2 linked regions of the Saccharomyces cerevisiae S288C genome follow. The protein of the gene in region 1 interacts with the protein of each later gene in a biochemical or structural test. Each region holds a gene or a part of one and is shown in the gene's direction. Other genes may lie near its edges. The genes, in order: GIR2 and RBG2.

Region 1 (8,338 bases):
CAAAATGGATTACGTCGCAATCTCTAGACAAGATTATGAATTGATGGTTGCTAAATACGAAAAGCCACAACTGGATTATTTGAAAATTTCTTCAGAGAAAATCGACCACATTGTAGTGCCTCTGTCTGAGTACAATTTAATGGTTACAAATTATAGAAATCCCAGCTTGAGCTACTTAAAAGAGAAAGCCGTTTTGAATAATCATATTTTAATAAAAGAAGATGACTATAAAAACATTTTAGCAGTATCAGAACATCCGACAGTGATCCACCTCTCCGAAAAGGCATCTTTATTAAATAAAGTCTTGGTAGACAAGGATGATTTTGCGACCATGTCACGCTCGATTGAGAAACCAACTATCGATTTCTTATCCACTAAGGCGCTATCAATGGGGAAAATACTAGTTAATGAATCTACGCATAAAAGAAACGAGAAACTATTATCTGAACCAGATTCTGAATTTTTGACAATGAAAGCCAAGGAGCAAGGGCTAATTATCATTTCAGAAAAGGAATATTCTGAACTGCGGGATCAAATAGATCGTCCTAGCCTAGATGTTTTGAAAGAAAAGGCCGCCATTTTTGATAGCATCATAGTAGAAAACATAGAATACCAACAACTGGTAAACACTACAAGTCCCTGCCCTCCCATTACTTATGAAGATTTGAAAGTATATGCCCACCAATTCGGTATGGAATTATGCCTCCAAAAACCCAACAAACTTTCTGGAGCTGAGCGTGCAGAGCGCATTGATGAACAATCAATAAATACGACCAGCAGTAACTCGACCACAACATCGAGCATGTTTACAGATGCACTAGATGATAATATCGAAGAGCTTAATCGTGTCGAATTGCAGAATAATGAAGATTATACTGACATAATCTCGAAATCATCCACAGTGAAAGATGCTACCATTTTCATTCCCGCCTATGAAAACATCAAGAATTCTGCTGAAAAATTAGGCTACAAATTAGTTCCGTTCGAAAAATCAAATATCAATCTGAAAAACATTGAAGCTCCATTATTTTCGAAGGACAACGATGACACTAGCGTTGCCAGTAGCATAGATCTTGATCACTTATCTAGAAAAGCAGAAAAATATGGTATGACCCTCATTTCTGATCAGGAATTTGAAGAATATCATATACTAAAAGATAACGCGGTTAATCTGAATGGTGGCATGGAAGAAATGAATAATCCCTTGTCAGAAAATCAAAACTTAGCAGCAAAAACCACAAACACAGCGCAAGAAGGTGCCTTCCAAAACACCGTTCCCCACAATGATATGGACAACGAAGAAGTCGAATATGGGCCGGATGATCCAACATTCACAGTAAGGCAACTCAAGAAACCCGCTGGCGATCGTAATTTGATTTTGACTAGTAGGGAGAAAACACTGTTATCAAGAGATGATAATATAATGAGTCAAAATGAGGCGGTTTATGGTGACGATATATCTGATAGCTTTGTAGATGAAAGCCAAGAAATCAAAAATGATGTAGACATTATTAAAACTCAAGCTATGAAATATGGTATGTTGTGTATTCCTGAAAGTAATTTTGTGGGTGCATCATATGCAAGTGCTCAAGATATGAGCGATATAGTTGTGCTTTCCGCGTCCTATTACCATAATCTAATGTCACCTGAAGACATGAAATGGAACTGTGTTAGTAATGAAGAATTACAAGCGGAAGTTAAAAAGCGTGGGCTCCAGATTGCACTAACAACAAAGGAAGATAAGAAAGGTCAAGCCACGGCATCCAAACATGAGTATGTGTCGCATAAGCTAAACAATAAAACATCTACTGTGTCCACAAAGTCTGGAGCAAAAAAGGGACTTGCAGAAGCAGCAGCAACAACTGCTTATGAAGATTCCGAAAGTCATCCACAAATAGAAGAGCAGTCTCATCGTACTAATCATCATAAGCACCATAAACGTCAACAGAGTCTGAATTCTAATTCAACCTCAAAAACCACACATTCATCGAGGAATACGCCAGCATCTAGACGAGATATAGTAGCATCATTTATGTCACGTGCAGGATCTGCCAGTAGGACGGCATCTTTACAAACTTTAGCATCATTGAACGAACCAAGCATAATACCCGCGTTAACCCAAACCGTCATTGGGGAATATTTGTTTAAGTATTATCCACGCTTGGGACCTTTTGGATTCGAATCACGTCATGAAAGATTCTTCTGGGTTCATCCATATACCTTAACTTTGTACTGGTCCGCTTCTAATCCCATCCTAGAGAATCCTGCCAATACCAAAACAAAAGGTGTTGCCATTCTAGGAGTAGAAAGTGTCACAGACCCAAACCCATATCCAACAGGATTGTATCACAAAAGTATTGTTGTTACCACAGAAACTAGGACTATTAAGTTTACTTGTCCTACAAGGCAAAGACACAATATTTGGTATAATTCATTACGTTATTTACTTCAAAGGAACATGCAAGGGATAAGTTTAGAGGACATCGCTGATGATCCAACAGATAATATGTATTCAGGAAAGATTTTCCCATTGCCCGGCGAAAATACAAAGAGCTCCAGTAAAAGACTTAGCGCATCGAGAAGGTCCGTATCTACAAGGTCTCTAAGACATAGAGTACCACAAAGCCGATCATTTGGCAATTTACGATAGTTAAAAAAACTAAATAACTCTAAGTAAATTAAGAACAATAATAATCATTATTTCGATTTTTAGTCCTGTAAACACGTTTGCCACCGATGAGTAACACTGAAAGATCAGAGAAAGAAAAAAAAATTCTACCTAATGAAATAAATAAACTAAAAAGATTAAATTAACTAATTCTCATGTTAGTAGGTCACGAATTCTTTAATTTTGTTTTGTGACTGAAATAAATATGAAAACGATAATGAATAAATAAATAAGGAGAGGCAGCAGAAATACGCCAAATATTCAAAGGGCTTTGTTGTTGACCGACTACCAAGTCATCCTTTGCAATGCTTTAACACTAGTATGTAAGTTCCTAGGCTTACTCAAATTAGTGATATTATCGTTGTTGCTTGGGGCTAGGGAAGTAGGAAGTGGAGTCAACGCCGTATCCTTACTTCTTCCATCGTTAGCATTTTGATATATTTCAACGTCCTTATCATCACCGTGTTTGAAACAGCAACGCTTACCGTACGGACAGTAGCCTAACTTCGACCAATTTATGCAAGGTTTAGTTCTATAATTGTTTGATTTTTTCTTGAATTTCAGTTCATTAAGACCATGAGCAAATTGGCATTTATTTCCATACTTACAATAGCCTTTAATAGTAAAAGATTCACAGAGCTCAGTTTTGTATAAGGTCTTATTGACTAATTGAGGAAGCTGCAAAGGTGCCCTTCTACAAGGTTCCAGTTTTGTTGTTTTCTGAATTGGAAGTGTGTATGGAAGTCCAGTAGACTGAGAATCCACCTGAGATAGTTTTTGTAAATTCTCCGCTGTCAGGGGTAATGAAAATGCACTTGTCGTGTAAGTAGGGTTAATCTCAACTTCGAGTGACCTTTTCTTACGTTTTTTCTCAGTTGTAGCAAGTGTTGAGATGTTATTATTGCCTGCGAAAGGGTTATTAATAGGTAATGTATTTGTAGGTCTGGAATCTGATATGATCAAGTCTTTAAAATCTCCCAACGGATGATAACAGTTTGGTTTGGATGGTAACCAAGGAGAAGGCCTTGGTGAGTATTCACTTAAAATGTCCGTTTCATTTATATTATGCCCCTCGGAGCTGCTGCTGTCATCATTATCGGTATTTTCATTGAGCAGTGTCTTTATATAATATTCTTCGATTTCTTTAATCTTTGACTCGTACTCCTTGTTGAGATCAGAAAAGATCGAGGACGTAGTCGTTGAGGTCGAATTGGCATTCGGTATGTTTAAATAGTAGCTGTTTGGAGCAACATTCGGCATCATGGCTAGTGTTAATCCTTAATAGTTCTTATTGGTTGAGTTGCCGAAGAGACTGTGATATAGGGTTCTACGGCTTTACAATCAACTTATGGGTGAAGAGGCTAAATAAGATGTGACTTGTTAAGAGAGCAAGCGCAACAAGAGTGCAAAACCGTCACACTATGTCCAATGATCTACACTATCAACCTTTGAGTTAATGTTCTCTGATCCAGTATATTAGTAACTGCTCACACTGATCAAGAGCGTGAGAGAATACGAGCGAAAAAGAAAGAAGAAAAATTTGGGTGCCATTGGCACAGACCCTAAAAGAGATGTGAGAGAAGTGGGCCATATATGTATATTTTTCCCGAATGTCCTAATAAGTAATGATTGGAAATCCTAGGTCTATAAACTCGGGTAACAGAAGGTGGAAAATGAAAATTTTCTATTTTCCAATTGTAAAATCAGCAGGCATCGTTAGATTGGCTTTAAAGAGCTGAGTTTCCCATGCTGTCGGTTGGTATAATTTAAGGAAAAGCCCTCCCTCCATATCCAGAAGGCACTTGTTAATACTATGGATTATAAGGAAGAACAGAAGCAGGAACTAGAAGTTTTAGAGTCCATTTATCCTGATGAACTGAGGATCATAAACGATGAATACCCAAAGATTAAATTTGAAGTAGCCATTAAATTAGAGCTGGATACAGGTGATTCTACTTCTGTTTTAACCAAAGAGCACACTATAATCGCCGAATTCAAGTTACCAGAAAACTACCCTGACGAACCATGCCTGATTTCATTGGAAGCTCAAGAAGTAGCCCTCAATGACAACGAAGAAGATAACGAGGAAGATGAAGACGAGGTTGAATATGACGACCATGGTAATAAAGTACTGAAAAAGTTTGAAAACCTGCCAGATTTAATAAGCTTTAAGGGGTACTTGCCTGAATTAACCGTACAATTAGAATCGCAAATCGAAACCGATATGTTATTGGGTATGCAAATGTGTTTTGCATTGATTTCATCCATAAAAGAAAGATGTGAGCAATGGTATAGTGAACAATTGAATAAGCTCGAGAAGCAGTACGAGCTGGAAGCACAAGAACGTGAAAAGAAGGAACAGGCCAAGTTCCATGGTACTAAAGTCACAAGAGAATCGTACTTGGAATGGAGGTCTAAATTTCGCCAAGAACTGAAACTGGATGAAAGAGACCAGGTGAGAAGGATGAAGGCTCATCATGGGAAGCTAACCGGTAAGCAAATGTTTGAACAAGGCGTGGTGGGCACAGGCGACGAGTATATGGAAGAGGATGACGCGAGTGTAGATGACGTAGCCAAGGGACTTGCCAAGACCGAAATAGCAAATCAATAAATACTTGTGTACTTAAGTATTTAAGTATTTTCTTCTGCATGGATAATGACATATACAAATGTATCTATATAATATTTTTTTGATATTCAATAAAAAGAAAACTGACATTTGAAGAAGGAAATAGACAAGTTTTTAGTAAGATATTATTAGTGTATATATGGATACATATATCTGAGAATGAAAATTTGTTGACTGTATTGAATGTATTGGGAGATGAAGGGGTATTTGGTGATTAGACCAACGACTTGGAGTAAGAGAATAAGTCGGAAAATGCATCATTTCCCTTCGACTTGTCCTTTGTAGCCTGAGGACGGGCTTTTTGCTGTTTTTTCTCCGCAAAGGGCAATGATGTTTGCGCAGCAGCGGTGGTATCTGTGTCTGACTTTGGGCCATCCCAGTCAAGCAAATCATCTATTTTACTATTGGAAGTTTTAGGTGCTGTTGTGTCGGGACTCGTTTCGCTTTGGAAGTCGCCAAACTCATCATCATCATCATCACTATTGCTGTTGATATTATTGTTTTTGTTGTCATTATTACCATTGTCTATTGTTATATTATTCGTGGTGCTAGTACTATCGTCAAGATCGATTAAGTCAGGGATGCTATCTTGTTGTTGCTTTCTTTTCCTCTGCTGTTCTTTATTTTTGATCTGCTCTCTTAATATCTCCCTTCTTTGTCTTCTTTGTTCTTCCATATGAGAACGCCTGCGAGTATTCGAATTTGCTTCTGTTTCCACAGGAACATTGAAGTTGGTCACATTATTAGCATCCATTTCACTGTCAAAGCCATCTGCATCTGCATCAAATTCATCGTCGTCGATGTTATCGTAACTTGCAGACGTTGAAATCTGGTTGGCATTATAAATGGAGGATTCTCCTTGCTGTCGAATTTTCAAGGCATTCTTCTTATTCTTGGCTCTTTCCTTTTTCAAAAATTGTGAGTCTTCCAAGTATTGCAAGATAAGTTCTCCCTTTTTCCTAATACCTCTCTCATGAATCTCCATTTTACCATCATTGGAGAATTTTACCTTGAATTGGGCAATCTCCCTGGTTAAAATATGCTTATGAGTGAGCAAACATGATCTAATCTGATTCAGTTCGTCACCTGTGTCGACGTTCAATAATAGGAATTCAATGACTACTAGACATTTTAAGACCACCCTCCATTCGGACCCATAATTAACGTAGTCCTTTCTTGCCTTTTCGTATAGGTTCTTGGGCCTGGTAGCGATATGGTCGACTAATCTTTTCAACGTGTATTCTGTCATCAAGTAGAGCGGCACTTGGTATCTGTTCCTTAAAACCTTGGCGAGGTGCTTCGGTGTGGGGCCCCAAGCATCGGTATTTGTAGCACGACGGATATCTATCTGATAAGGCTCATATTGGACTATCACGTTTTGGGCAAACCTTGCGGCATTTCTAATATCATGGATACCTAAATTTTGAATCTTTTTTGATAATGAGTCCATTTTGTATGGTGTTGGTATTTATGCAATTGGAACGTTTAATTTGTGTATATGAATTTCCCTTCCGATTTGTATATTGGATAGAAATATAATTTTTTAAAAAAAGTAAACTATAAGCAGCCTGGAAAGATAAGCTAGACCAATTCTTATTGATAAAAAACTAAAGATAAATTCAACCGAAAACTAAAATCTAGATTGAAATTAAAACAAGAATGAATGAATGGATCAAAGGACCTGAATATGAAAAAAAGTGCAGGAGAAAGAAAATTTTCTCGCTGTGGAAAATAAGCCGAAAATCCGTTACCTAGAGGAAAGAAAGAAACGTGGGAAAAACAGGGGGCGGTACCCGGCGGCGTCAACTTAACAGGCATAACCTAGGCGGTAGTTGGCTAGTTGGCAAGCCTGGCAACATACTCCGATATAGGTAGGAAGAGTTAGTTATAAGAATTGATTGTCATACATACACATACCTTATACATATACATATAATTTAAGAGAGAATAGTTCGTTTCAATTTTTGCTGTATTGTTCCAGGCAGAGCGGTTATAATTCACCGGACTTGGCAACAACAATTCTAGCCTTGGTGGCACCGGAAGGAGAACCCAAGGACTCAACCTTCTTAACGATGTCGTAACCGTCAACAACTTCACCAAAGACAACATGCTTACCGTCCAACCATGGGCATGGAACGGTGGTGATGAAGAATTGAGAACCGTTGGTGTTTGGACCGGCGTTGGCCATGGACAACAAACCTGGTCTGTCGTGGTGCTTCTTGAAGTTTTCATCTGGGAATTTGCCACCGTAGATAGACTTACCGCCGGTACCGTTACCAGCAGTGAAGTCACCACCTTGCAACATGAAGTCTGGAATAACTCTGTGGAATGGAGAGCCAGCGTAGCCGAATCCCTTTTCACCGGTACATAGAGCTCTGAAGTTTTCTGCAGTCTTTGGGACTATGTCGTTGTACAACTTGAAAACGACACGGCCAATTGGTTGGCCATCAGCTTCGACATCAAAATAGACTTGGGACATGGTAGTATTAGCGGTTGAGTTTGGATTGAGTTGAGATATTAAATTCAAGACAAATCTTAATATAACCTATCTAGCGAAAAAGGAGGAACAAATGATGACGACAGTGGCAAAAGGATAGAAGGCTCAAGAGAATACGTTTATATTTATACAGGGAATCGAACAGACACTTGTCAGCGTAAGCCCAACCAAAGTGAGAAGGGCCACGGCCATTACCAGAGACAGAAATGAGTGGAAGCGCGTGGAAGCCCGTCTAGCAGAGGAAGAAATTCGAGACGAGGCGGGACGTGGCGGGCTGGGCGCCCCAGAAAATACCGTAGAGGACGAGGGGGGCGGTGGAAACCCCTAAGGGGCGAAAGGCGGGTAACATCTAACAGCGACGGGTAAGCATATTGCGGGTGTAAAATTTTTCATTTCGAGCTTACTTCAAGATGATGCATATGTTTAAATCACATTGATTATAGAGGTCTCATCGGTAAGGCAGAGCAGAACTGGAGACGTCTGAGGTAAGATTTCGATAATACAAGATGATGAAAGGTTCTAGAAGAACAGGTAATAACACTGC
Region 2 (7,646 bases), on another chromosome or scaffold:
TATCGATAAATCTGGCAATGTCCCACCGGTTTCTAGTTCTTTTAGAATTTGGTCTCTTTTAGAAGCAGGAAAAATGAAATCTGGATTCTTTCTTATATGGTCAACTATTTTCTTGTTAAATAAGGATAGCCTAAAGAAGTAATTTGTCTCTGACTGATAAACTACTTCGTTTTTCGATTCTGTATTCAGATACTTACCATCATTTTTGGGGTCTTTAATAACCTTGGATTCAGGATAGAATGTTTCATCAGAAATGGAATACCAACCCTTATGTTCGCCCATGTAAATATAGCCATTTTTCAAACAAAGTTCCCATAATTTCATCACGTTTTCAATGTGGTCAGGATCCGTAGTCCTTATAAATCTTGTATAATTAATGCCATATATTTTGTCTAATTGAACAAACTCTGGGTATAGCTTATCGACGAACTTTTTTGGCTGATCGAAGCCATTGCTTTCACTAGCACACTGGATTTTCAATCCATGTTCATCAGTACCTGTGGTAAAGAAGGATAGATTACCTTTAAATAATTGCCATCGATGGTAAACGTCACTTAATAAGCTGGAGTAAAGATGGCCGAGGTGCGGTTTGGCATTGGGATAGAAAATTGGCGTCGTTACGTGGGAGACCTTAGAGTACAGACGATGCACAATTGATCGACATTGCATGTTTTCTTTCGATCAAAACCTATGCTTTCCTTATTTACCTCTGGAGAATAGTAACATTAAAATTTACATTCTTTTTTCACAGTTGTGCGGATTTATTTGTTTGAAACCACCATTGGACTACGTTTTAGTTTTTAAAGAAAGAGAAGGCACTTCGTAATCCAATGTTGCCTAGTACTGGTATTGCTTGCACTATACAAGGAAGTAAGTGTGATTATGTAATGCTGTATACACTCTTTATTCAAACATAGTTCAGAAAAACATATATACAAATATCGCCCCTAAGCCAATTCCCTTCAGACAAAAATTACCATGAGGGCAAAAACACTGTAGAAAATCAACAGTGGGTAGGCAATTAGCAATCTTGCATTTTGCAATTGGAGCAAAGAATTTAAAAATCCAGACGAGGTCCAAGTACTCCAAATTACAAATAGTACTGATACAACATAACCTGTAGTGTTGTTCAAACCATGGAAAATGCCCAGTAAAGAAAGGAAACACAGAGGCAAAAAGCAGTATCCTAAGATGGACGCTGTATTGAAAAATTGTAGGTTCGTTTGAGTGGAAGTATCGTTATTGCTCATTAATTTCGATAGATTGTGCAAAGAAATGGTACCAAACAAAGCGACACCATAGATATATCCAAAATGAACCTTTCCAGCCATCAATAGAAAAAGTCCGAATAACAAAAAGAATATCAAAGGCCCAGCCAAATCTGAATCGTTTAGAATTTCTTGTGGCACACCACTACCAAAACGTATTGGTATAAGAACCATTTTAGTTTTCGTTATGATATGATCGAAATTTATTCCAATTTCCTCCAGTAATGGAGGTTCATGTGGATATCCCTTAGTTGAAAGAGCATGTAAAATACCTACAGGCAAAGGGTCGGGGGCAACACCCAAATTGTTATCGTTGCCAGTATTAGAAGAACCGACGGTATTTTGAAAACTCATTGACCCTTGGGGAACGGCAAATTGTGCAGAAGGCTGATAAAAGCCACCGCCATTATTAGCATTGTTACTAGTATTGTAGAAAGACATCTCGAGAGGGACTAATAGTTGTCTTGCAGTACTTCCCGTCCAATTTGTAGCTGTTATAAGATGACTTGGTTCGTGTCACGTAGTTACCTCACTCAAATAGCAAAATAATCAATGGTTACCCGAAGTGAAAATTTTCGTGATAATAGCGATGAGATTTAAACCCAGTTATAAAAGTCGTACAATATTGAAGCTGTTGATATTGGAATTGAACAAGTACTAACGAGATACGCATTATCAAAACTAACGTAACAAGCACTACAAAATGGGTATTATCGACAAAATCAAAGCCATCGAAGAAGAAATGGCCAGAACCCAAAAAAATAAGGCCACAGAACATCATCTGGGTCTTTTGAAGGGGAAATTGGCTAGATACAGACAACAACTGCTAGCTGATGAAGCTGGTAGTGGTGGTGGAGGAGGGTCTGGTTTTGAAGTGGCAAAATCAGGTGACGCTAGAGTAGTTTTAATAGGTTACCCCTCCGTCGGTAAGTCCTCCTTATTGGGTAAAATTACCACCACCAAGTCTGAGATCGCTCATTATGCTTTCACGACATTGACATCCGTTCCTGGTGTATTGAAGTACCAAGGTGCAGAAATCCAAATTGTGGATCTTCCAGGTATTATTTATGGTGCTTCGCAGGGTAAAGGTCGTGGTAGGCAAGTTGTTGCAACAGCAAGGACCGCAGATCTAGTATTAATGGTTTTAGATGCCACAAAGAGTGAACATCAAAGAGCATCTTTGGAGAAGGAGCTGGAAAATGTAGGCATCAGGCTTAATAAAGAGAAACCAAATATTTACTATAAGAAAAAAGAAACTGGTGGCGTGAAAGTTACGTTTACCTCCCCTCCAAAGACCAATTTAACCGAACAGGCAATCAAAATGATCTTGAGAGATTATCGTATCCATAATGCAGAAGTTCTGGTAAGAGATGACCAATGTACGATTGATGATTTTATCGATGTTATTAACGAACAACATAGAAATTATGTCAAATGTCTTTATGTGTATAATAAGATAGATGCAGTATCATTAGAAGAGGTGGATAAACTTGCCAGAGAGCCAAACACCGTTGTTATGTCCTGTGAAATGGATTTGGGATTACAAGACGTCGTTGAAGAAATTTGGTACCAGCTGAACTTGAGTCGTGTGTATACAAAGAAGAGAGGTGTTAGACCAGTATTTGATGATCCTCTAGTGGTAAGAAATAATTCCACTATTGGTGACTTATGTCATGGTATCCACAGGGATTTCAAAGATAAGTTCAAATACGCATTGGTTTGGGGTTCTTCTGCCAAACATTCTCCTCAGAAGTGCGGCTTAAACCACAGGATTGATGATGAAGATGTAGTTTCTTTATTCGCGAAATAGTATAAATGAATAGATTTTAAAGAAACATGAAAAAACAAGATCAGCATCGAGAACTGTAGTACGGAGCAGAGATTTTGCATGACTAAACGGACTCATTTTCCTTGTAGTAGAAATAAATGCTGAAAATAGGTTTTTTAGTGAGAACCGGAAGGTGTTACTTTCATGGTATATTCGTATATACTTTTATAATGTAATTTGAAGAGCTCCGTTCATAAAAATTGTCATTCTGGGCTTCAAATGAATAAATAAACCCGAATGACAATGAAATCTCGAAATTATAATAGTGGTACCTAGTGTAGTAAGTATAAAGGAACCTTCTCTGTTGTATCTCAGAATGGGATACCTCAGTATGACAATACATCATCCTAAACGTTCATAAAACACATATGAAACAACCTTACAGCAAAACGAACAGAATGAGCAACATGAAAATAAAACTCTGCCTTCCTTAGCTAACCTACTCTAACGTATAAGTATCTGAACAATTGGTTTAGATCCAAGATTCCGCGCTTCCACCATTTAGTATGATCCATATTTTATATAATATATAGGATAAGTAAGATCCCGTGAATCAAGCTGATAAACCGTTTTGACAACTGGTTACTTCCCTAAGACTGTTTATATTAGGATTGTCAAGAACCTTGACATTACCCCATTGCATGATGCAATAATCTCATATAAATAACAAGCGCAAGTGGTTTAGTGGTAAAATCCAACGTTGCCATCGTTGGGCCCCCGGTTCGATTCCGGGCTTGCGCAATGTTTTTTCCATCCCCAAGTATGGGAACTAAAATAGCTAAAAATAAGTATGAAGTTATATTTTTAAACCTATTTACAGTGTACAAATAAATAATATATCATAAATGACACAGACGTATGTTTTAGGATGCAAAAGTTCAAGCTGCCCTTCCTAATTGAGTGACCCGACCCATCTACCAGAAGCGCCACCAGCTTTTAACCTGCTTATCCTGGACTATTTCCTTTGTTTTCTCCTCCGTTTCAGATCTTAGCTGAGACAGTTCATTTCTGATCCTAGCCAACTCTTCTTTTTGCACCTCCTCCGCCCTCACCTTAGCAAAGTGATCTCTGCTTTGAACGTTATCACCGTTCCTTTCCCAAGGTGATTGAAGGGGGCCCGTCTTCCAAATTGGATCGTCACTTTGAGAAGTTTCCTTAACAATTTTCATCAAAGCCTGCTGCTCCGACTGACGTAGTTTTTTCTCCCTCTCATATTGTAAACGTAATTCTGGGGAAAGCTGGCTGATTAACTGTTGATCTGTTGGCGTTGTGTACTTGAAAAGCAGAAACCCGCTTCCAATAATAGCGCCACCAATTGCATAGACTTTCAACCAACGTACCCACAATGGTCTTTCCATACCCAAATAATGCTTATACTGTCTTTGTTTTGCTATTACTGCCTCTCTAGGAGTTATCGCGCACTGCATGTATATAAAATTTTATCTTGATAAAATACCCCGGGGGATGAGCAAAAAAAGGGATATGGGGAATGAAAAGTGAGATAAACTAGCAATAATCTATTCTAATAAGTAGAACATTCACAAAGACTACTATGGTGTAATTCTGAAAGGATTTACGAGAGCACAAATACTATTATGTATAATTCTGACTGCAGAATCCGGCAAGCTTGATTTAATATCACTTAAGGAAGTAATATCGTTAATTGATAACCGAATATGAATCTCAATGCATATTTTGAAGCATATCAAGCCATTTTTCCTTTTCTGTTGGAGGCATTTTTAAGGAAAGAACAAAAAGTATAAAACACTTCGGTTAATAATAAATGATATGTGAATTTTTTTGAAAATATGTAAAATAAATAAGTAATAAATAAAAATAAGATGTGTTTATCGTAATGTACTATACAAGCCTTCCAAGCCGACTTCTGTAATAAAAAAAAAAGGTGCAGCTTAATGTTTGACGGTTCCTATCCTCTCTCCCTTATAAGCTGTAGTTAACCAATCAACTCACCAAACAAAAATGGGGTGAATACTCTAATAGCTGTGATCAAAATCATAATACCTTCCAATAAAGCCATTGGTAATCCCAAGAAACCACGTTCTTCCATGTTCAAGTAAATGGTGTAAAAAGCGACAGCGAAGAAAACCCTGGTCAATTGCAAAGGCTTTGGCAAGACACCAGACAGAAATTCAACGGGTTTGTTGACACAATCGCCACCTCTTTGGAAATATTTGAAACAACCTTTTTGTAATGCCTTCAAGTTATCGCTGTCAGCAGCGAACAAAGAATACAAAGCCACTGACAAAACGTTAATAACGGAATCGTAACTCTTTCTTTCGAAATGGTAGTCTAGTAATTCATCCAAAACCTTTTCACGGTCGCTGAAGTCTAGGTCACCTATTTTCTTAATCAACAAGACAACATCATGCAAACCGACAGTCATACCACCACCAGTCAATGGATGTCTCATATTTAGAGCGTCACCGATAACACACATACCAGTGACGTCGTTTTGTCTAGCTGGCAAGTAGGAGTTTGGCATAGCTCTAAATTTACCTTGGCTGACGGCTTCATCAAATGAAGGACGTAGACTCTTTGGAATGAAAGGTTGGACATCCTTAATCATCCAACTCTTGATATCAGCTGGGACCTTTGGAGAGTTGTAAGCACAAAGGATTCTTGTTTCTTCTGGACTGATTTGGTAAACCAAGATTGGCATATGATCACTACCAAGAATAACGTGACCGTGCATAGGAGCAGGATTCTTAGCATTGAACAAAGACATACCGACAAACGAAGAACCGACAGTTGGAACATGGTCTGGGTGCAATTCCTTTCTGAAACGTGAAAAGATACCGTCACAGATAAATGTCAAGTGGGCTTTGAATTCCACCTTGCCACGGCCATCAATGTCAACCTTGGCACCAACAACCTCATTCTTTTCATCCTTCAATATCTCAATACAGTTACCTTGCACTCTAGTAACATTTGGCTCTTGAGCAGTAATGTTTCTCAAGTTGTTCAAGAATCTACCATGAACAAAAGCAACACCCCTTTCTCTTTCATCATCTTCGTAATCCTTGATGTGAATAGTGCTGTCTTCCAAGACCTTGTCATTACCATCTTTGACCAAGTCCTTCAATTTTTCAACTTTAGGGATATCGGCCTTGTAAGGGTATGGAATATCAACTTGTTCGCCGTTGAAAAAGACGGTATAACCGGTAACAGGATATGCTTCGATGTTGTTGATAGATTGAATCATACCCAGACTTCTCAATGCTCTAACACCACCTGGTTGCATCAATTCACCAACAATTCTATCAGGCATAGCCCAGTCACGTTCTACGATAAGAACTTTCTTACCCTTTCTTGCTAGACCAGTAGCAACACATGGACCGATAACACCAGCACCGATGACAATCGCATCGTAGGTAATTGTGTTGTCGGCATTAATCAATTCAGGTGCAACGTTAACAGCAGACATGACCCTTTTCTCGATATGTTTTTCTGTGATTTTTTTTTTTCAATTGTTCGAAATAACCTGTATTGTTCAATACTGGACAATTGTTCTGATATATATATATATATATAATTTTCAATGAAAAAAAAAAAAAAAAGAAAGAAAATTAGAAGCTAGAAAGAAATAAGGAAAAGGAAAAGCAAACAACAATAGGAAAAAAAAGCATAGAAACATATAATAGATTAAATACAAAAGATTTATTATACATGCGAGGTAAGACTATTGTCTAAGACTTATACCCGACCGAGAGCAGCCACGGCATGCATCGACTACGAGCGTATTGTGTTATATCAGCTCTGTCCGATACACTGCTTGCCTTTTGTACGAGCTCGGCCGAGCTATACGAAGGCCCGCTACGGCAGTATCGCATTAAAGCGACGCAAATTCGCCGATGGTTTGGTAGAAGAGCTTGCAGAACGATTCCCATTCGCCACGATCCCGTAGAGTGCCCTGAACCACGCTCATGTCCATGTTCATACCATTCACGTTTGTGGAGCAAACGTTTAGGCCGAACGCAAATCTCAAGGCGCCTGCAGACTGCGAGAAGATTAAATCCCGAACGTAGTACGGCTTGGTCGTATCTTGCGAGACAAGTCCTGTATTACTGATGATTGCACCGCCTCTTTGCTGGTGCAAATAAGAGTTGGCAAGAAGGCTGTCTATATTCTTGTTTTCAACGATAAAATCAAGTTGTAGGACCCCCAGACCAATCAAGTGGTCACCGTTGTCGTACGATTCTAAAAAGCGGTCATAGTAGTATTCGACAAGACTCCAAAACTTGTCATTGTCACCTTCGGGAATGTCGAATGAGGAGATTAGATAGGCGTAATGCGAACCTCCAACGTTGGAGCCGTATTTATAAGAATCTCTTAACTCTTCATCGTTTGGTAAAAACCTTCTTGCGTTGCTTGGAATAGCCACATCGAACCCATACTCGAGAAGAGATTTTGTGAACAGCTTATCCAGTCTATACAGGGCTACAAGAAAGCACGCTTGAATGAAGGGTGTTAGGGTGCACCCATCGTGAACATTTTTCTTGATCTGAGCTCTGATTTGTTCTACTTGCTTA

What was found.
Region 2: the proteins of GIR2 (region 1) and RBG2 form a complex in vitro, tested with the Saccharomyces cerevisiae proteins (one study listed by BioGRID).

What each region holds. Positions count from the first base shown.
Region 1 is NC_001136.10:761,225-769,562, forward strand, and holds GIR2 (Gir2p), read left to right. Parts: upstream 1-4,481; coding exon 4,482-5,279; downstream 5,280-8,338. Other genes in the region: NUM1 (Num1p), read left to right, coding at 1-2,650; putative mRNA-binding protein CTH1, read right to left, coding at 2,954-3,931; ENT5 (Ent5p), read right to left, coding at 5,512-6,747; peptidylprolyl isomerase CPR1, read right to left, coding at 7,288-7,776; DNA-directed RNA polymerase I subunit RPA14, read left to right, coding at 8,301-8,338. UniProt on the Saccharomyces cerevisiae protein: Acts as a negative regulator of the GCN2 kinase activity by disrupting the GCN1-GCN2 interaction in amino acid-starved cells.
Region 2 is NC_001139.9:841,883-849,528, forward strand, and holds RBG2 (Rbg2p), read left to right. Parts: upstream 1-1,971; coding exon 1,972-3,078; downstream 3,079-7,646. Other genes in the region: methionine--tRNA ligase MSM1, read right to left, coding at 1-669; transporter YIP1, read right to left, coding at 963-1,709; CBP4 (Cbp4p), read right to left, coding at 4,011-4,523; YGR174W-A (uncharacterized protein), read left to right, coding at 4,773-4,859; ERG1 (squalene monooxygenase), read right to left, coding at 5,051-6,541; ATF2 (alcohol O-acetyltransferase), read right to left, coding at 6,947-7,646.